Linked DNA regions of Alligator mississippiensis. The protein of the gene in region 2 binds, or shares a complex with, the protein of the main gene of each other region. Links are inferred from orthologs where the notes say so. Each region holds a gene or a part of one and is shown on either strand. Other genes may lie near its edges.

Evidence for each region. The genes of interacting proteins can lie anywhere in the genome.
Region 1: KAT6A (region 2) and BRD1 share a complex: the UniProt entries of both Homo sapiens proteins name them as parts of the MOZ/MORF complex. The link is inferred for Alligator mississippiensis from reciprocal best matches to the Homo sapiens genes KAT6A and BRD1.

Annotation. Positions count from the first base shown.
Region 1 is NC_081827.1:37,036,098-37,046,344, reverse strand, and holds the start of BRD1 (bromodomain-containing protein 1), read left to right. Parts: upstream 1-5,605; 5' UTR 5,606-5,701; intron 5,702-10,247. UniProt on the Homo sapiens protein: Scaffold subunit of various histone acetyltransferase (HAT) complexes, such as the MOZ/MORF and HBO1 complexes, that acts as a regulator of hematopoiesis.
Region 2 is NC_081830.1:17,272,592-17,282,926, reverse strand, and holds the start of KAT6A (histone acetyltransferase KAT6A), read right to left. Parts: upstream 4,805-10,335; 5' UTR 4,708-4,804; intron 4,145-4,707; exon of another isoform or gene 4,125-4,144; intron 3,845-4,124; 5' UTR 3,793-3,844; intron 3,679-3,792; 5' UTR 3,511-3,678; coding exon 2,908-3,510; intron 1-2,907. UniProt on the Homo sapiens protein: Histone acetyltransferase that acetylates lysine residues in histone H3 and histone H4 (in vitro). Component of the MOZ/MORF complex which has a histone H3 acetyltransferase activity. May act as a transcriptional coactivator for RUNX1 and RUNX2.

The DNA of each region.
Region 1 (10,247 bases), on a different chromosome or scaffold from region 2:
TGCCCTCCAAAAGGTCAAAGAAGCTACTCCTCCTCACAAAAAGCACCTACCCATTAGGTAAAATAACAGTTCAAAGGAGCCTGTCAAGAGCTCTGTATCTGCAAACAGACAGTAACTTAAAAACAGATATTCCCTCCCCCCACAATTGGGGAAAATGTTCTTCTTTGGTGCTTCTAGCCCATGATTTTATCTTTTTATTGGTCAATCAATCAACATTTAAGCAAAGAAATCAAATCGAAGGCAGGTCTGAGGTTTAGAGGAAGAACTCTGCACAGTTTGCTTTTCATAAGCTTCCCAAGAAATAATTTTGTAGGTGGACTAAAGTTCTTAAATTGTTATGCTCTTCTAGTCCCAAAAAGTTTCAGTGACACACAGGAGTGATCATCTCCAGCAGTCCTACCCTACTCCTAAAAAAACACAGTTTAAGGAGAAACTGTTCAACCACTGCCTAAAATCCCTAGGGCTGCCCAGGAACTCCTAACTTCATTATCTCTTGCTCATACTTCTATTTAGAAACCCTTGGATTCTTCTTTTAAAGGGTAGAAAATGTGGCACTCCTCTCAAAGGATGTTAGTAAAACACATCTATGTAATAGGATGGGGAAGAAAAGATTGAAAACATCAACAGATGCAATTATACATACTACAGAGCCATAAGGACAATTCTGTCCAACACAATTAAGAAAGTAAGTAGTGGACTGTACAAAGAGCGAGTTATACCTTTAGAACACCTTACAATGAACTACTGCAATACCTTTTATGAATGAGCATGTATCTTATACAGGGAGACACAGAGGGGAGAAGTTAAATGCCTTCCATAAAGCCAAAGTAGGATTCAGAATAAGGATTGTGTGGGAGACACTGAGCACAATACCATCTTGTATACCAAAAAAGAAATCACAATAAGGCACCCCCCTGTAAAATGGAATCAAAACACTTCAGCCAAAGTGATTCGTTCCTAGTTCTCCCACATACTGGGTGAATGTTATAATCACTCTTCTAGTAAACCAGAATCTAATAACCACTGTATCTGACCAGACATCTTTCTCTTCCCTGCTGGTTTTGTGAATGATGCCTAACCTTTATTTCCATTGTTCTCCTTTTTCCTGAAATAAACATGAAACATGTTGTTTGGGACCAAACCAAACATCCCAGTCAGCCCCAAATAATTGATTTCTGTTTTTAACTTTTTATAGTGATTGGACTGTAGGACTCCAAACCCACAAAATAAGATATTTTTTCATACAATATAAATCAACTAATGAACATAAAAGACGAGAAAAATAAACATCTTTTGAAGTACAGCAAAAGCTCTGTTATCCGGCACTCATGGAGAATGGGGGGGTGCCGGATAACCAAATATGCCAGTTACCCGAGAGGTGCGAACAGGCATCTTTGCCTGTTCGGGCCACTGCCCCTCCCGCTGTGCCCAGTACACCGCTGCCCCTCCCTGCCATCAGTGTGCTGGAGGACAGGGAGGGGGGACCCCCACGCAGGCTGCTCCGCCCCAGGCCATGGTCCAAAGTTGGCCAAAGTGGGACTTCCGATTTTGCTTTTGCTGTGTCGATCGGCATGCTGGTTAACAGAGCATGTGCCAAATAACGCAGCTTTTACTGTATACTAGATTTTGAATGTAATAATAATCAGGCGCAATTACTACACATTTCTATTCTGTCACCATAGCATTAACTTGAAATTCAATGTTTCCTGCATTTTCTTACAAATTCAAAGAACAGCAACTGAGAATCACTAAATCTAAAAGTGTAAACCCAAGCCCATTTTCCAGTTAAAAGGAGTCCATGGATTAAGTTTTGGGTTTCAACTTTAACCAGTGAATGTTCAGAGATTATTTGTATATTTACTAAGGCAGAAAATTAGTGCTTTCAATTCAAGAGGTATTCCTTCAATTACAAATCAAGTGAAGTCTTAACTTAGCAGAAATTTGCACAGCTCCAGACAAAGCAGACATATTTCAGTTGAAATGGCTAGTTAATTTGTGCAAAATACAACACACATTCAGTTATAAAAATGAATCCATAAAATTGCAAAGAATGATTAGTTTTCATTCCTGCATATCACTACTCAAGTTATTAGAAAAAAAATCAATTAAACAATACATTTTCTGGTTCAACTAATAAAGAACATAATATGTAATAGTTATATTTTTTGTGCCAGCATCTACTGTGAACTGTGATGCAGTTAACAAAGATTAACACATTTTAAAACAACATGCTTGTTTAAGATTTCAGAATAGATTATGTTTTTTTAATTAAATCTTGGACAAGCAAAAAGTACGTTGTCAAATTCCAGGATGTTTTCTTATTCTCTTTATGACATCCTAACATCATTAATTCTCCACTGAAGAATACTACAAGATACCACAAAAGAAAGTGCATCCAAAGCTTATTCTGTTTTTAAATAATAACAACACAAAGGTAACCTTATGTCTAATATATTTTTGAATCTTTACTCCCCAAAATTCATATAAATTCCTATCTTTGAATCACTTAATTGCTCAACCTGTTAACGCAGCAGCTGAAATTAACACATTTCCACAACTGCACAAATTTCCATTGATGCTAATAATGCAGGCACAAATAGCCCTAATGGAACAGATAGAAGGCAATTTTACCAAAGAGATGAGGAAAAAATTACTAGGAAAAGTTATTTTCAAATAGTGTACAGAATTTCCTGCTTGATAATATTAGAAATAACCCTATGTAGGGAACTTACAATGCCAAGTTATGGGTTCAGTATAGAACTGCTGTTATATTCTATTCATGTTCTTATACATTATGACAGCATCTGATTTTACCTAGCCTGCTTTATGCCGAATGCTGAACTAAGACATGATCATAGTGTTCTTCACGAAAATCTTTCTAACATTTACAGCTGTTCAGGTTACCACTGTTTATGTAAATAGTTTTCTTTATTTTCTTTCAGAGTACAAAGAAGCAACACAAACTAAATATGCCCCGTTTGCAATATGGAATAAGACAAGACTCACAGCCAAACTCAAATTGTATCTCCTCATACTGGTCAGGGGATAAAATTGAGGAGTTTGCCCCTCTTGTGCAGTTTCCCTGGCACTTGTGCACAGAACAGCAGTAAGGGGCAGCAGGCTGGAGTGTGTTCAGGAAAATAAGAAAGAGCATTCATAAAGAGTTCATGCCCTTTAGTCCCAACCTATCTTTTTCCCAAAACAGTTCTCAAAAAGTAGTCTTTCATGCAGTTGTGGAAAACTAGGGGAGGAAAGAGAGAGTACAAATGCAAGCGTGCAAGAGTTGTAGCCTGGAAACCATCAAAAGAGGATCAGTTATTTTCCCATAATCTAAAGAAGGGGGTTTCAACCTTTTTAAATAAGTGTACCCCTGGCGGCCGGACATGGAACGGGGCAGGGGGAGAATTGCCTGCAGCCAAAAGCAGAGTGGGGCAGGGTGGGTTGTGGCGTATGGCCGAAAGCAGAGCAAAGGTGCGGGGTGATGGATGGTGGCAGGACTACTCCTAGTCCTACTCCTATTCCAACTATTCCTAGTGGACCTGTTGTAAGCCTCAGTTATATCATCTGTATTACAGTACAGTAGTGCCTAGCGGGTTCAGACAAGGCCCAGGGTTCCATCATGCTAGCTGCTACACAAATATGTAACAAGCCACCAGTTCTTACCCCAGGGAGCTTGCAATCCAGGCTTATGACAAGACAAAGCAGGTGAGTGGAATAAACAGAATGAAGATTTTAGCATCCTTTTATCACAAATCGCAAGCTTCAAACATATGATTATCTAAATTGCTCATCCCAGAATCTTTTGTGGGGATGTAATTTCATTTGTTTTCCATTTACTTCACATTTTGTCTACACTGTAAAGGAAAACCTCCCAAGCTCCCAATATCTGTTAAACTACAAACATGCTAGCAATACTGGCAGTCTGGCTGCGGATGGTTCTTAGACTCTAGCAGGAAGTTTTCACACCGTGTCAGTTACTCTTGTTCCCAGCAGGACAGTTTTCCATGCTAGAAAGGACCACACTTCTCATTCAAATATCAATCAGAAAATAATCTTCTTGCCTAAGAAAGAAGTGACACCAATGTGTATTTCTATTTCTCCGTTATATCTACTGCATAATGTTCCAGGTTTCCCTTACAAGTCTCTTTCTGAAAAATAAACTCCATGTTCAATTATTCTCAGAGAAGACTTCCCCCTCTTCCCCGCCTCCCCATTTTGAAAAAAAAAAAAGAGTTTAATACACATTGGGAGGAGCAGAAAGAAGTTCCCCAGACTTTCGTGCTGCCCCAACCAGACCCCATAAACCCCTAGGTTATGGTGGTCCCATCTTTCAAGTGAAATGCTACAGACTCTTAAAGAGAAAGAGAGGGATTATGGTCACTTTTCCTTTCTTTTACAGGGCATAAGGGATCCTGAAAACTTGTCTGCTTTAAGAGAAGCAGCCAGGATGCCTTCCATCAAACTTCACAGCACTATTCATAAGGCAGGAGGGCTCACAATTGATGCCACACCTGCCCTCAAGCATCCTCTACTATTTTGACATTTGGTCTCTTGTCAAATTCAAAGCAGGGAAGAGAGAGCGAGGGAAACCCCAGCCTACAGCCTACCCCGCCCCAGCAGAAAGACCAGTGACTTCTGCAGACAACTCCAAGCCTCAAAGATTGTACTCTTAAATTCCTTCCAGACCCACCAGCGAGCCCTAATTAGACCGTGCTCCAATCCCTGCCACCCCCAAGAACAAAGTACCGAGAAGGGAGGAGAAGAGGAGCTGGCGTTTCGCAGCCCATGTTGGTCGTGCGACTTCAGCGCATTGAGGGGTCAGCGCTGGCGCAAAGCCGCTCCTTCCTGCACGGGCCACTGCGCCCCTCAGCCCGCCCGCGCGGGGGAGATGGGCAGAAAGCCAGTGCCCAGCGCGGCTGTCAGCGCCCGGCCCCCTGGGGCCGCACCTGGCGCCCCGCCACGGGCCATCTTAGCTGGGCCCGGCCCGGCCCGGCCCAGCCACATGGTCACTCCTACAGCGCCGGGCTCCGAGGCCTCGGCGCGGGCGCGAGCTGGCCTCGCGCGCGCAGAGCAGAGCAGAGCAGGGCAGGGCAGGGCAGGGCAGGCGGCTCCCACACAATGCGGCCGGGCCGGCCCGGGCCGCGCCGCCAGGGGACCCCGCCACCCCGCCACACAATGGGCGAGCGAGCCCCGGCCCAGCCCACCACTTCCTGTGCCCTGGCCGCACGTCCCCGGCGCGGAGCCCGGGCCAGGGCCTGGCGCCGCGGCTCGGGCAGCGGCAGCAGGAGGCGGCGCGGGCAGCCGACCCCGGCAGCGGCAGCCCCGGCTCGGAGCGCCCCGCGCCAGCCCGCGGCCCCGCTCACCTCGCCCGCCCGGCCGCGCCCGAAGGGGTTCCGGGGACGGGTCGTGCCGGGCCGCCCCATTCATCAGCCGGCGCTTTGTCTCCGCCGCCGCGACGCTACTCAGCCTGCCCGGCTCGGCCGCCGCCGCCTCCACTGCGCAGGCGCGGCACGGCGCGGGGCGGGGCTGGGCTGGGCACGTCGCGGAGCGGCCGCACGCACGGCGCGTGACGTGGCCCCGGGGAACGGCCACAAAATGGCGGCCGCGGCGCCGGTGGGGGGAGGGGCCCATCCTAGGGCCGGCAGCGGCGTGGAGATGAGGGGTCCTGGGCGGGTCGTCCCGGAGCGGAGATAACGGGCCGGTGAGTGCGGGCGTCCCCACAGGAGGCTGGGACCGTGCTGCTCCGCCGGGCTGGGGGGAGGGCCGCGAGGTGCTCGGGCGTTTGCAACCCCGCCCCGCCTCTTTGGAGTTCGCGCCTGTTCCCTGCTCATCCCTTCCACCGGAGCACGTTGTCTGCCCAGGTTTACAAAACGCGTGCCCTAGTGCCCTGTTTCGGAGTGACAGGCATCGGCTGCTAGTTTGTAACCCAAACTTACTACAACAAAAAAGATGTAGGAAAAGACGCTCTCTTAAAACACCTACGAGAGCTTTTTCGTTCTTACAAAATCGTAACAGATGCGTCTGGCTCCCCTGGATGAGGTTCAGATGTTAAAGAAGCTGATAAGGATACCTGAAAGACCAGTAACCACCTTTCACGGTAGCCAAGGAGTTTGCTTTGACTAGCGCATCTGGTGATGCAGTCAGAAGTAGTTTTTAAAGAAAAAGTAAATTCTCTGTATTTACTTAGCTGCTGTGCAGGCTCAGTGCTACTTACATCTGTGATGCTTTCAGTGCATCTATTAACACATCCAACTATCGAATACCAAACTTGATGTTCTGAAAACTCATCCGCTCCCCTAGAGCAGCGGTTCCCAAACTCCGACAGATCGCCCACCAGCAATTTAAAACCATACAACCTTAAGTACTACCAGCAATGTTTTCAGTTCAATCTTAAGTACCAGTAGCAAATTTTTGTCGTGTAAAATAATTATAACAAATCTGTTAACACATACCCCTGGCAGGTTGTCTGAGTACCGCTACCGCTGCCCTAGAGTATTTCAAAAGACAAGTTGGCAGCACTTTCTGAACCCAAGTCCATGTCCGTAAGAGCCAGGTGCCTCCTTCCAATCTATGACCATTCCTTTTATGTTGAGTTGATGCTAAGCTTTTATGTCTCGCTATCTCTAAATAATAGCTCCTCTTTTTTCCTCAGATCTTTTCTAATGAAGAAATGTCATCTATTCATCTCTCCTTTTAAAGTTTGAATTTATTCCAAATTTCTTCATAATTGTTAGCTCCTAGAGTTGTATTTTCCTTCAGGTGTTCCTCAAACTTTCTGGTTTAGAGGCAGAAGATGATATTTTTTTAAATAGCAAAATCCAATGATTTCTGCCAAATTTCTAAGTAAGCACCCTTTTTTTCTTCTCCCTTGTAGAGCCCCAACACTGCCTTGAAAGGGCGGTTTATCTGTTACTTAGTTTCAAGAGGTTTGGGAAGTCTAAACAGTGATTTTGGGGGGGGGGGGGTTCACTTCTCTTCTGGATCTTTGCAATTAATTGCATCCACTAGAAGATGAGTGAACATTGATCAATTCCTTTTGACACTTACGTTGCAGAGGTCTCAGGAAGGTTCAGTAAGCTGTAACTTTTTCTACAGTTTGTTTATAGGCTCTGTTGGAAATATTAAAATATGTTGAAACCTTCATAAAAATAGGTGTTGTTTGTTTTTTTTTCAAATTATTTCCTAGGTAACTGGGAAGAAAATCGCCATATAGTCATATTTCTCCGTGGCTGAAATCGCTAGACCCTTTCTTCTGTTTTGCACCAGTGTACTGGAAGTCTGGGACAGAAAGTGGAACTTGAATGTTTTGACAAGATTGTTATCTAACACTGTCAGGAAAAAAAGTTATCCTATGCTCACAGAGTCAATATGAAGCTTTCCTAAGATAAGAACATAGTGATTTGTTAGTCTGGTAGTAGAGAAAGAGTTAACCACGAGGTGACAAAAAGGCTCCAAACTGCAAGGTTTTAGTGATAGATGAAGAAAGAAAAGCAGAACATTTGTATCTACACTTGAGACCTGGTAATCTCCTTGTAGGAACCTATTGTAATTTAAAAACTTAAATGAAATGCATACAAAATGCAAAGAGTGTAGTTCTGTTGCCATTGAAATAAATGGCAAAGCTGTTACTGATTTCAGCTCTGAAGCACTGGGCTTTAATTATGGAAAACCACCTACATACTTAACAAACACCTTTGGGACACTGTTAGCATATGTATGCAAGAAGTAAGCTCCAAACAGGATACAGACAAGTTACCAGTATGGGACTTAGAGGAGAATTGCACCAGTATGCTTTGAAAAGATTAAAGTGGGTTTTACATTGCCTTATCTTAAAAAATAGTTTGTCATACCCAGGTAGGATTTTTTCCCCAAAATTTCTTATCAAATTCTAGTTCATAACTAATTTGGATATAAGAAAAACTGATGATAGTGGTTTAAATTGTGTGGAGTTTTGTACAGATGGTGATAGATTATCCTAGTTTGCCTTCTGTCCTTAAAATCTATTAATCACTTTTGAGAAGTGACTCTCTGAATTTAGGATGATTAGAATGACCCTACTGAGCTAAGGTATGCTGGTGATTTGATGGCTTGATGAACTTCAAACCAGTTTCCTGCTGACAGATTTTCTCAACTGTGACTTCTTCTCTGGCAGGTCCTGCATAACAGCCAAATTATACAGAATTAGTTTTTCTCCATTCAGTGCTATAGAACTCTGAGACTCCTCAAGTGATCTTAAGTCATCTTTCTTTTTCCCTCCAGCCTTTCCTTTTCAGTTTCTATGCTTATTTCAAGATTCCTGTTGAAGATTTACCTCCCTTTGGATTTCATAGTCCGTGGGACCTGTTGTTGCTATGTTCTTTATGGTTCTGAATTCAAATCATAAAATTATTTTTGGCACATGGGTCCTGTATGTCTTTTAATATCCTCAGTATGTGATATGGAGTGTGTAGAGGCAATTTTGAAAGGCTAATTCTTGGGATCTGCTAGGGGTGCTCTTTGGAAATTTAGGAGCTTTGTTGGGTTGTCTCATTTCTGTCTCCCAACAGCTCTCAGTATGTGACGTGACATAGCACTTTAAAAAAAATTCTTAAAATCTTGATGAAATTCTGATTATTTCAGCAACAACCTCTGTGATCTATTAATGTAACTAATTAAATAAATAGGGAAATGCACAATTAAGATAAGCTGAATTCTCTTCTGTTTTCTTTTCTTTCACCATCAGAGAATTGGGCAACATGATCCTAAACAAACACTGGTGCACCTTCTGTAGTTGCAAACCTTTAACCTTTTTATCATTGTTCAGTGAGTAGCCATAATCCCCTATTTACTGCACCTTATTCAAACCCTGCTCTGAAGACACTTTTAATTTTCATATTAGGTCGTCTTCTGCTCTCATCACTTCAGTATCTGAATGCTTCACAAACATTGATGCTTTATCTTGACACACGTGAAGCATGAGGTGTTATTACCTTCTCCCCACTCCCCTAGATGGATTGTTTAGGCACAGAGAGGTTAAAATAAAAAGTTTCTATTAATCTGGGATGCTTAATTTGAGATTATTAGGATCTGATTTTTCCAAGTACCTGAAAAATGTTTGATACCTTTCCCATTGACTTCAGTTTGGGAAGTGTGGGTGCTCAGCACTTCCACAGGTCCTGCTCCAAGGCCTCAATTTGGACATCTAGAAAACAAGGAAAATGAAATTGCTAACCACCCAAGGAATGTTCTTTTAGGCACTTGCTTAGTAGCACATTAGGGACTCTGCGGCAGAAGTAGAATCCAGCTCTCCAGGTGACTATTCACTTGCCTTAACCTTGAGACAATGCAATCCTCTTTTTACTCAGTGCCCACCTTCAGAGTAGTCTGTACCAAACCCACAATATTTACAAGACTGAGAAAAGGGTGTGGGATGTCCTCTGACTGGATCCTGTTTTTGCTCCTTGGTACCTCATGTTTAGGAAGAATTCCTCTGGGAAGGATCTCCCGGTTCCTTGGACCAGTATTTATTAATACTAGGTCCTGTTGGGGGTTCTTTGCTCAGTGTCTCCTTCTAGATCCCTTCTCTTGGACATGTGACTTCCTTTTCCTTTTGCATCATCATTTTGTTGCACAAATACCCACCAGTTCTAGGTAGGCCTAGACCCTTGACCCAGGTTTTTCATGATGTTCCCCTTGCCACTTGTGCATTAAATAAAATCAGGTTTCTAGTAGAAACACCAGATACTTTCATTGCACATAGTGTTGATTCATCCCCAGAGCATGTACATCTGTATGTTAAATGAGGCTGATCTGGAAAAATGTGTAATTAAAAACAATCAAAATTATATGCACAAGGAAACATGTCATGGACAGCATTAATTGTATATTCCTTAATTCTTAAGTGTTTAAGGTTTTTTTAATATATGGGTGTTTGTATGTGTAATTTCCTAATATATTAAAAAAGCAAAATGAAAAGAAATTTGTTATATTTACATTTTCCACTTGAATTAATGAATGAATGGTTTCACACAGGTTTGCCAACAGCAAAGGAATGGTAAAACACTCATTGGCCTGTTCTCTTGAGTTTGTAGGAGAATGGGCTTTTGAGGACACTAACTCTTAGCTGTTTCTCTTAAGCTTGTACCCTTCTTTGTCCCCTCCAGCCTGTCACCATTATCTTTTTGCTGCCCTTGACACCTCAGTCCCATTCGCCTTGCTTTTCTATTGTTAATCTGTGCTTCTCAGGCATTTCATTCCTGTCCCAGCCT
Region 2 (10,335 bases):
CTTTAACTACTGACAGAAACTATTTTATAGAAAATAGTCTACAAGATGTTTTCAAACCAACTACAGATGTATTCTAGAACATGAGAACTTGGAAGTGAAACTGAACTGTGAACAGCCGAAACAGTTTCTAGTGCCTTTGTCCAGGATGAGAAAAGCAGGGTATGTAATTTTTTTTTTTTTTAATATTTTGCTTTTGGCCTTAGGTTTTAAAATTTCCTTTTTATGTTATAAGAAATGTAAAGATGTCTGGACAAAGTTTTTACAACAGTGCCAACACTGGTACTCAAAAAAAAATGTCAAATGCTTGTCAGAGGTGCTGAGTACACACAGTCCCCGCTGACCTCAGTGGAACCTACTGTTGCTCAGCACATCTGAAAACCCGATACTGTTTCTTACATGACCAGGTGTCCAGGTTGTAGCCAGATTGGTCTAGATGCAAAAAGGAATCAAAACTTGTGGAAGAGGTGATATTTTTTTTTATTAGACCAACAAGATATCTGCAAACAAATTATTTTATTTATTTGCAAGCTTTCGGGCGCACACACCCTTCATCAGGCATAGGAGAGAGCAAAGATTGTAAAAGTTCTTCTAGGCAAAAATGAAAATTCATGACCAAGTATAAATTTAGGATCCTAAATCTGGTTGCCCATATCTGACAAATCTACAACTCTTTAACAGCTTTTTTCACAATGCACACTTAAGAGAAAGCAGCAAAACAGAAAGCAAGGCAACACTTTTTACAGCTAGCTACACTAGATTGACTTTTTTTCCAAGTTCATGTGTTGTGAAGAGTTTTTAGAGTTATATTTTTGTCACAGCACCAATACATGCTGGTGGAATGGTACCCTAGATGAAGAGTTCCTATGATTTCACCAGGACAAAACAAGTGGGTAACTCAAGCAAATGGTCTTTGCAAACAAAACTGAGTCTGAAACTCGGCGCAGTTCCTACCCCTATACAGGTCTTCACATCTCACAAATCCCAGCAGATTCTAATGAGCAGTACACCTGTTGGTAGTTTCTGCAGCAAGCCCATAACCTGACCTGGATATGGAGACTGAACTTCCTCACCCTTAGAGATTGACCCACCACATCAATCAAAGGAAGGTCTGCCTGGAAAACCCCACATACCCTGCACTTGTTCTGTGGATAAAGTAACTCAAGCATCCAGTGCTAGCAATCAATATCTTTAGGGTACACCAGCTTCATTAAAACAAAAATACTAGAGCAAAGGAACCAAAGCATCCGTCAGACACTAAAATTGAGATAAACTACATTTAAAGCAGGATTGCTACTACAGCATTTGTTGTCCCTGCAATTATATCAGTCCGTAAGTTGATCGCCCTGCCTTTGTTGCACACTGCAGGTACATCCCTCCCAGTGATCCTAGCTCCTTGTGGCTTTATGTCATGAGATGTTACAAAACCTCGATCGCTGGAGACTTTTCAAGAATAGGTTGGATAAATGTCAGAAAGAGTTCGCGTATAGCTGACCCTGCCTTGGGGCAGGGGGATAAACTAAGTCAGTGGTTTTCAACCTGTGGTCTGCAGACCCCCGGGGGTCCACAGACTATGTCTAAGGGGTCCGGGAAAGATGATTCTGATCAATCAATAGTATGCAAATACCCACACTTACAATTCAAAGGGGTCCGCACCTCCATGTGAATTTTTTTAGGGGTCCACAAATGAAGAAAGGTTGAAAACCCCTAGACTAGGTGACCTCGAGGTATCGTTCAGCTCTCCTTTCTGAGATGCAGCCAAATTAAAACTAGTAGGACTGTGAAGATATTTTAACATGACAGTAAACAGCTATATGACCTTACATTTTATGAACAGGGCGAGAGTCACAGAAGAAACGACTCAACACAGCACACTGTTTCTAATACTCTTTATATGTTTTGAATATTCGTGGAGTTCCTTCCAAATCTGAGTAGCTACCAGGAAATGCAACAATATCTGATGTTTGAGGTGAATGGGGATGTGTGCGCACAAACATGCACACACACACATACACGCACTTTAAAATCTTGACCAAAATTTTAAAATTGCTGTTTTGCACGGAAGCATACTTGAGGAGTACAGAAAGGGACAGGATTTTTGGTATCCCACCTCATCGTAAGGACACCCCCTTGTAATGATCAGACTAAATGAATGGGTGCATACAGTAGAATGAGTGTAAAGCTATTTCTAATGACTAGTCTTGCTCTCAGGTTGTGTTGACATCAAGATTTTATTTAATAGTATTTTCCTACTGCTACCACCACCGGTTCCATTTCTATCAGCATTAGGTCTTGTCACAAAAAAGTTTGATTACACTGGTCTGGTAACAAAAGCTACAGGCTCTAGTAATGCTCGATGCGATAACCAAGCAACTGTATGAAGAAGCTGCTGGCTTTTTACCTGTAGTGTCACTGAAAGGTGCTCAGCACAGGCCTATATTCTTTTGTCCTGCAAAGGGCAATGCTGTGGTCTACACCATCTTACCGTCATAACCCTCCATGGATCTTCAGTAATGGCAAAAAGTGATAGAAAATGAGTATTAGAACACATATCTATATACCCTGCAGTCTTCCAAGCCTCAGATCTGGCTAGGCCACAGCCAAGTGCTCTGCCTGAAGTGTCAAAGTAATCCGAGAGGCACTAAGGACTCGTATGTATAAAATTAAAAAAAAGGAAATGGAAATGCTTTTTGAAAGTGGCTACGAACTCCCCTGCACTGAGTCTGAAAGTGAATGGGACAAGATCATTTTCAAGCACTTTCAGAAGCATGCGAAAGAAAAAGAAACCTCCATCCACTTAAAGATTCACCACAGGCCCCAGACCATTTCCAACTTATCTGATGCATAATGAAATACTGACCTCAAAATTGGAGCCTTTACACCCTATTTCGTCAGCTCCGAGGCTCTTACCTTATCCTTCTCATGGGGAAGAAGCGACACAGGTGGCAGGCAGGAAAGAGACTCGCAGCTTTCCTTCCCGTCAGCATTAGCAACTGCTTTAGTGTTGAGCTGGTAGAGAGGTCCATCTTTAAGGAGTCTGCCATGGCCAACAGCACGCTTGACAGCTAGTCGCAATTGCTGGTGAAAAGCGGAAGCAGCGCTACCTCCAAACAACACAGACACGTCCTTCTGACCTTTCAAAAAGCGCTCTATGTTTTTCAAGGATGAGCCACTGGACTCCGCCAAGCCCTCGATTGCCCGTTTGATCAGTTTATTCCAGTCCACGTTTGGTTTACCATCCAACTTGCCATGGTTTCGAGGCTTCGGAAGTGCTATTCTCCCCGGATTATCGGGATCCTTGTAGGAATTGAGACCCTTGTTGGAGACTTTTAAAATAGTCCCATCTTTAACGCTTAATTCTAGTTGTTCCAAAACAGTTTTACGGTCCAAACCATGGGATGAAGACACCGCATTGCATATCCTCTCCTCTGAAGGGCGTTGTTTTTGCTTCTTGACCTTTTTAATCGCCTCCAAAATCCACTCAGTATACAGCGGGTTGGCGAGTTTTACCATGGTGAAGACTTCTGTATATCCATAGAGTCGTTATCCCTTATCCCGATGCTGCACAATTTTCACACCGTGGGAAAACAGATTCTCGGAGGAGAGTAACCAGCTAACCATAGCATACACGTTTCTGATATGAACTGCTTCTCTTTGATCCAATATTAAATTTTCTTAAAACTGAAAGAAACACAACACATCCCATTAGGAGCTGATCCACGCTTCCCAACAGATCCCACCACCGCTCCCGCGGCAAGCCTGGCAAAGCTGGAAAGCTGTCAAAGCACATCTTACCTCGCTTCGGGACTCCCGCACCGCGATCGGAAAGAGAACTGGAATGTTACGCCTGCAAGAAAACGGGACGGAGTAATTTCTGAGCAAAAAAAGTCACAAGCCTAAATCTGACTTCCGCCATCCTACGGACGGACGGACGCCTCACAAAGTTTCCCCGAGACCACCCTCGCCGCCCCGGGAGACCGCCAAGTCGCGAAAACAGAAAAACACCGCGTTTGCGTGCAGGGACACAACCGAGTGCCGAAGGTGACAAGGCCGTGCTGTTCCCGCCCAGCCAAGGCGAGTCCCAAGCAGAGAGAGTCGGGACGGACGACGCACTGAGGAAAGACTACCTGGCGCCTTTTGTCTGCGGCCGGGGTTTTACGGCGGACCCCAAAGCGCCCCCATTGTGCCTGGTGTAGGCACGAAAGGGCGCGCGGCGAAAGGGGGGTGCGCGCCGCGGCCACCCCTCCTCGTGTCCCGAAAGCAGCCGCGACACCTGCCCGCCAAGGCGGCGCGGAGAAAGTTGTGCGGAAACCTGCGGGCGTCCCCTCGCCGGGGCTGGGGCCGGGAGGCGGAGGGTGACAGGACGCCGGCCGCACGGGCGGGAAGCCCCCCGAGTGCCCGGCCTCGCCGCCCGCGGCAGACAAAGCGCGGCCGCCCCTCGCCGCGGGCTCGGCACCAGGCGGCGGGCGGCGCCCCCCGGCCCTGCACCTGCCGCGGCCCCGCGGCGCGGCGCGGCCGGGCCTGGGCGGGAGGCGGGCGCGGGAGGCGGGGGCCGCGGGCCGGGCCTGGCGCAGAGCGGCGGCGGCGGCGGCGGGCGGCGGGGCCGGAGCAGGCCGCGAGCCCGCGGCGCCGGGCCGGCCTCCCCCGCGGCGCCCGCCGCCCCGCCGCCTGCCCGCCGCCCGGCCCGCGGCCCCCCCCGCCGCCACTCACCGGGGCCTGCGCGCGGCGGGCGGCGGGCGGCGGCGGCCGGACGGCGGCGAAGCCCGAAACTGACACGGCGGCCATCTTGGGTCCGGAGCGCGGCGGCGGGGGGGGGGCGGCGGCGGGCGGGAACAGCGCACGGCGGGCGGGGCCGCGCCGCCTAGAACAGCCGGGCCGGGGACAGGGACAGGGACAGGGCCGGGGACACGGCGGGCTCCGTCCCAGCGCCCGCGGCCAGGGGTAGGGGGCAGGTCTGCCCCAGCGCCCGGACGGTGTCACCGCTGCATCGCCTTTACCCCCAGGCTGCCTCTCTTTGTGCCCGGACACATCCTTGCATCGGGAGCAGGTGGCAGCCGCGGGAGGACACGGCCGGGCCGGCTGCCTGGTGTTGCACCGACCGGCCCCAAAAGAGCCATGCGGATGCTTCTTGGCGAGTGACACCCTTCGCCGGTCCCGCATTGGGGACCGCGCCAGTTTGGGACCCTGGACTCGGGGAGTTCCCGCGTCGACCTCGGCTTGCGGCGTGGTTTCTCGCGCTTCGGATGGGCAAGTTCGTGCGCGGCGTTTTTAAGCGGTCACCCAGCGTAGAGATGAGAGCTTTTACGAGACCGCCGAGATTTTCGCCAAAAAAAACCCCCACCCCAAAAAATGGTTTGATTGCAAGCTGTCGGGCTTGGGGCTGAAACTTTGTTGGTACCGAGAAATCCTTGTTTCACCAGATTCGAACCATTCGCCCTAGATAACGTTTGACCCTTCGCGAGGCGTCGGAGAAAAGGTTGTCCAAGTTCTCCAGGATCCTCGAGATTGGCAGTCGCGCTCTTCTGTCGACTGCGGGTCCTCTTCTGTCTTCAGAGGATCTTCTCTGAGTAGGTGTACGGTTTGTGTCCGATCCCTAATTGTACCTTGCGTCCAGTTCTGAACTCGTGAAATAGCGTACCACGTTCTGGGCGAGACATTTCTTAGTGTGCAACTCCCCAGAGAGCAAGGGGAGCAATACTGACAGCTCTTAGTTTCGTGCAGGGTGGAGAATATCTAGCTCTCGGAGACCATAAGGACCCCCCCCCCAAACAGGGTTTTGGTGGAGGTGGCGTAGAATAGCGGTCACAACGACGCATGTTTTGGAGATGCTTTCTAACTCAAACCTCTTTGCTGAGTGTACACATTTAAAACTGTTTTATTGCTAATCCACTACGAACTGAGATCTTGCCAAATTGCAAATCCCTTTCCACTGGAAAGACTCCAGACCTACATACAAACTGGGGACAATGCTTCAGTAAGATCCTCGTGGGTGACTGTGTCCATACAGAGCCTCGTTGAAGACCCCCGGCTTCTGTGCAAGCAAAGAGAGCTCCTTCGTGGGAGTACCTGGAGTGACCTGAGCTTGGGGCTGAAACTTTGTTGGTACCAAGAAATTCTTGTTTCACTGGATTCGCACCGTTTGCTCTAGATAACGTTTGATCTGCTTGTTCAGTGTTGCTTGGGCTGCAAGTGACAGCTCTGAAAGCTTTTCTTATTTCAGATCTAGCTGTTGGTTTTGATTACATGTGCAAGGTACAGTCCTGTGCAAACAGGCTATGGCCAGTAGCCACACAATTTCACCAGGAACTTCCCGGATGAATGTTGTGTCTAGTTTTGGATTGGATCATCTTTGCACAAACTTTCTAATCTCTTTGGAGACGGGGAATTGGTAAAGTACTCTTGTAGACTTACTTTTTTTATGCTCCCCATCCCACCCCTGTGGTTTCTTGCCTTAGACTGAGGTGAGGAAGCGGAATGAACAGGAAGGAGGGTGCTGGAGTAAACTGTTAATTGGGACAGAGGAGAATCCTGGTTGCTCAGTCTCTGCCTAGAGAAAAATGCAGATGGCAGCTTGACATCAGCATGTAAAGATCCCTGTAGCAATTGTTTCTGTCTCTGTTCCTAAAGGTTTCAGAGTCCCTATTACGTTCATCATTTCCCCCCTTCCTGTTTGGGTCCCCATGTCCCTGAATTATAGCTGTGGTGCTGAGTGCATGGGAGGTAATGAAGAGCTGAAGTTCATTTCCAGGAGCTAATGAGGGTAAAATAAAGTAAAACTGAGAATTGCTTATGCAAGTATGATACTAAGTTAAAACTTCCTCCTCAGCTGCTGGACTTTTTTGTCTGTTTTAAAAGTCATATTAGGATTATTTAACCAGCAGCAAATTATGATGCAAAGAAGAACGCATTGCATTTGAAAGCTTAGTTAAGTCTATTCTGCCTGTGCAACTAGGTCAGTCAAAGGTGTCACCAGCAAAAATCCTTCCCTCTTCCCTATTTCCTGGACCATCATGCTATGTCACTCAGTGCTAGCAAATTGTAAACTGTTCAAGGTTATATCGTTTAGAAATTAGGATTTTTTTCAGAAATCCAATACTGTCTGTTTGCCTTTCTTTCTGTTCCATTTTCAAAGCACAATCTGACAGTTACACCAGCAGGATCATTGCATATGGTATGCTGCAGATGGCAAAAAGTTGTTTTATCCATCAAGATAATGCACAGTTTGGCAACACCGTTTTGTGAAATGACTAACTCCTTGGCTGTGGTTGTATCCAACTTTCACTGGAGACCCATGTACCTTCTAACTGAGCGCTGGCTCCTCACTGACCTCCAGTTCCCTTGGGTCTTGCTATATTTACCAGCAAGATTGATTTTTGCTTTAGAAACATCTTTCGCTGGATTCTTCTCCTTTTAGTTTCCAATTCGGGTTTATATAAACTCCAGCAATCCTGGGCAGAGCTTTTTATTTACTTTCAAAATGAAATATGATCCCCATGCTGACAGCCCAGAAGCAGCCAGATAGCATTTCTGCAGCAGTAAATAGGGTAATTCTGCACATTGCTTTCTGCAGGTACTAGCAGGAGATTGGGACATTCTTGAAAGGTTTATAGTTCAAAGTAGATCCCAACAGATTCACGTCTGTCAAGGGCCAGAACTGCTCAAAGGATTTTAAGGTATCTTGCATTGTATCGCTACGACTTCTTTCCTCCATAATTCCCTGCAAGCTTGAAATGTGAAACCTGTTCCCTTGCCCAAAAAATGGTTTTTCATACATGTTAACTTGAAATTGTAGTCAGAAGCTTATATTAATATTTTTTGCAGGCGAAAGAAAACCCTTTTGAGGTATTTGGGTTTTTTTTTTTTTCTTTTTTTCTTGTTTTGAAGAAGATACACGAACAACATGAACGGGGCAAAGTAGTCATGATTTTGCTGAGTATGAGCAAAAGAAGGAAATGGCACTCTTTAAAAACAGTTTATGATTCAGCTGAACCTGGATGCTGTTTAGAGGTACAAAGAAAACAGGTCTACACCCAAAGGGATTCCCTTTCTTGAATTTCAGAGGCTCAATGTGAAAAATGGAGAGGCTAGAACTTCTCAAAGAAAGATGCAAGAAATGCAGGGGTTATGTTAGGCCACTTAAACATAGATGGTACTCCCTCTGGTTCCCATTATTGTAGGATGCAACTGCCTCCTTATCTCTGAGGTGACAAATAGAGTATTACTGGCAGTGCTTCTTGGATCAGTTGTACTTGAAGTAATGCATCTACACTCCAGAAGAGACTGTGAGTTTGAAGACAAAATTAAGAAGCCAGCCAGTACCACAGGACCAGGCATTAGATGGAAAGGCACCTGAGTTTCAAAGACCTAGCATAACAAAAATATTCTGGATTGGGTCCGCAAAAGGCCAGTATATAGCTAGGATTCAATGACAGGTGGATTCAGCCCTAAGTTACCTCTGCTGGCAGGACACTGACTAAAAAAAGGATCTGGAGAGCAATTAATACTGAGCCAAGAATGCTATCAGGCCTCACAGTTTAGAGCCAAGATGTTGGCGACCTTTATACAGCTTTTGTGTAATTGGGTAGATTTCTAGCTTTGCCAATTTAACAAAGTCCAATTTTCTCACATAGAGCAGAAATAAATATAAATTATCTCTTCAGCTTGGCTTCCTCACACTTTTTCACACTTAAAGCATACGTACAGTCCTAAAAACAGATTACAAACTAATCGAGCTATTTCTCCAACTAGCTGAGAAGGGACAAATAGCAGCAATAATCTCTTTTACCTTTAGGGGCAAATATTGAGAAGGAAGCTATAAGGGAATTTGCAACACACCTTTTGTAGACCATCCCATGAGCTTCCCTTCATAAATCCACTGGATACAAAAAATCATGGACTAAATATAGACATTGGATTAACAACCTGCCTGACATCTGACACCCCAGATAACCTACCTCCAGCTGACCACTTGCATTCCTCCACACATTTCCCTCCCTTCCTCCCCACCATCTCTACCCATTGTCTTCCTAATTTCCACTCATTTGCATTTTCACAGACCTGCTTGTTGTAAATTTGCTTCTTTTCTACACACAACACCAGCAGAGTCTCCCTAGGCCTGACATAGGGTGTTTGTGCCCAAAAGCTTGCAAAGAACTTTTCCCCCCCAACTTTTGAGTTGGTCTAATAAAAGATATCGCATCTACCCAAAGAACCAAGATAGCCATAAGGCACTTGGATGAAAAGGCATTTTTTCTGATCTAAGGAGGAACGTGAATTGCGTGGGTTGGGTTAGCTGGTTGGTCTGTTTCTTTGTTGCTGTTTGTGTTTTGCACCCTGTGTTAACTAACAATTGGTAACATCCTGGTGTGGTCAAGGCAGTTTCAGTTTTGACATGATACCCGGTGAAAACAGCAAACATCATGAGGGAATGGACTGTTTGCTTTGAACTACAAACGTGCGTGAAATCTGTAATGATCTTCCCATTACAGGATGTTATCCTTTCCTTTCAGGATCACAAGAGTTAAACTCAGATAGGCTGGGGTGTATCCACAACTGGTTTAGCTGTTGCAAAGTGCTCTGTGTGCACTTGCAGACTGTACTTTGGATTCAGGTACAAGGGCAAATGAGTGTTTTAACCCCCTGGAGTACAGCCTCTTAGTTCAAGACTTTTTATCCTTTTTATTTTTGATAAGGGGAAAATAAATACCCAAAGCAGCTCTCTAAGCGTCCTCAGAGAGAGCGCAGAGTTAGGATTTATCACTTGCTTGGTACTGAGTCCACAAAGAACAGATGGTGTGGTTGTTGCCATACTGCTGGAAGGGTTTAAGAACAGCCCCTGTGTCAATAGAGCTTCAGCATGCTAAGAGCAGCTCTTCACTGCCCAGAAGCTATTTGTCCACGTCTCATCTCATGTCACTTAATTTTCATCTGCAGCTAATCATTCCTGGCCTTATTTAAGGATTATTTATCTGAACTACATTTAATAGTGCACAGAAGCATACTCTACTCTATACAGTAGTTCAGGACAAGGAACAGAAGGGATTTTTGTATTCCCCAAGGACTGCTAGGGACTTTGGGAGGCATATACCTTTATGCTTTTTCATGTTATTATGTTTTAATTAAATCTACACTATTTATTGAAAACTACCCTGAAACACTGGCAGAAAGTGCTATGGAAATCAATATCCCTGTGTAATTTGGTAGCATCGATTAGCTTTTAATGAATTTTCAAAGTCAGAGAGGACATTCTGCATAGCTGCCACTGTGACATACCAGGTCATTTTGAAATACATATTGCTCTGTAAACCTTAAATGGGAGATGAGAGGAGTAGAACACAT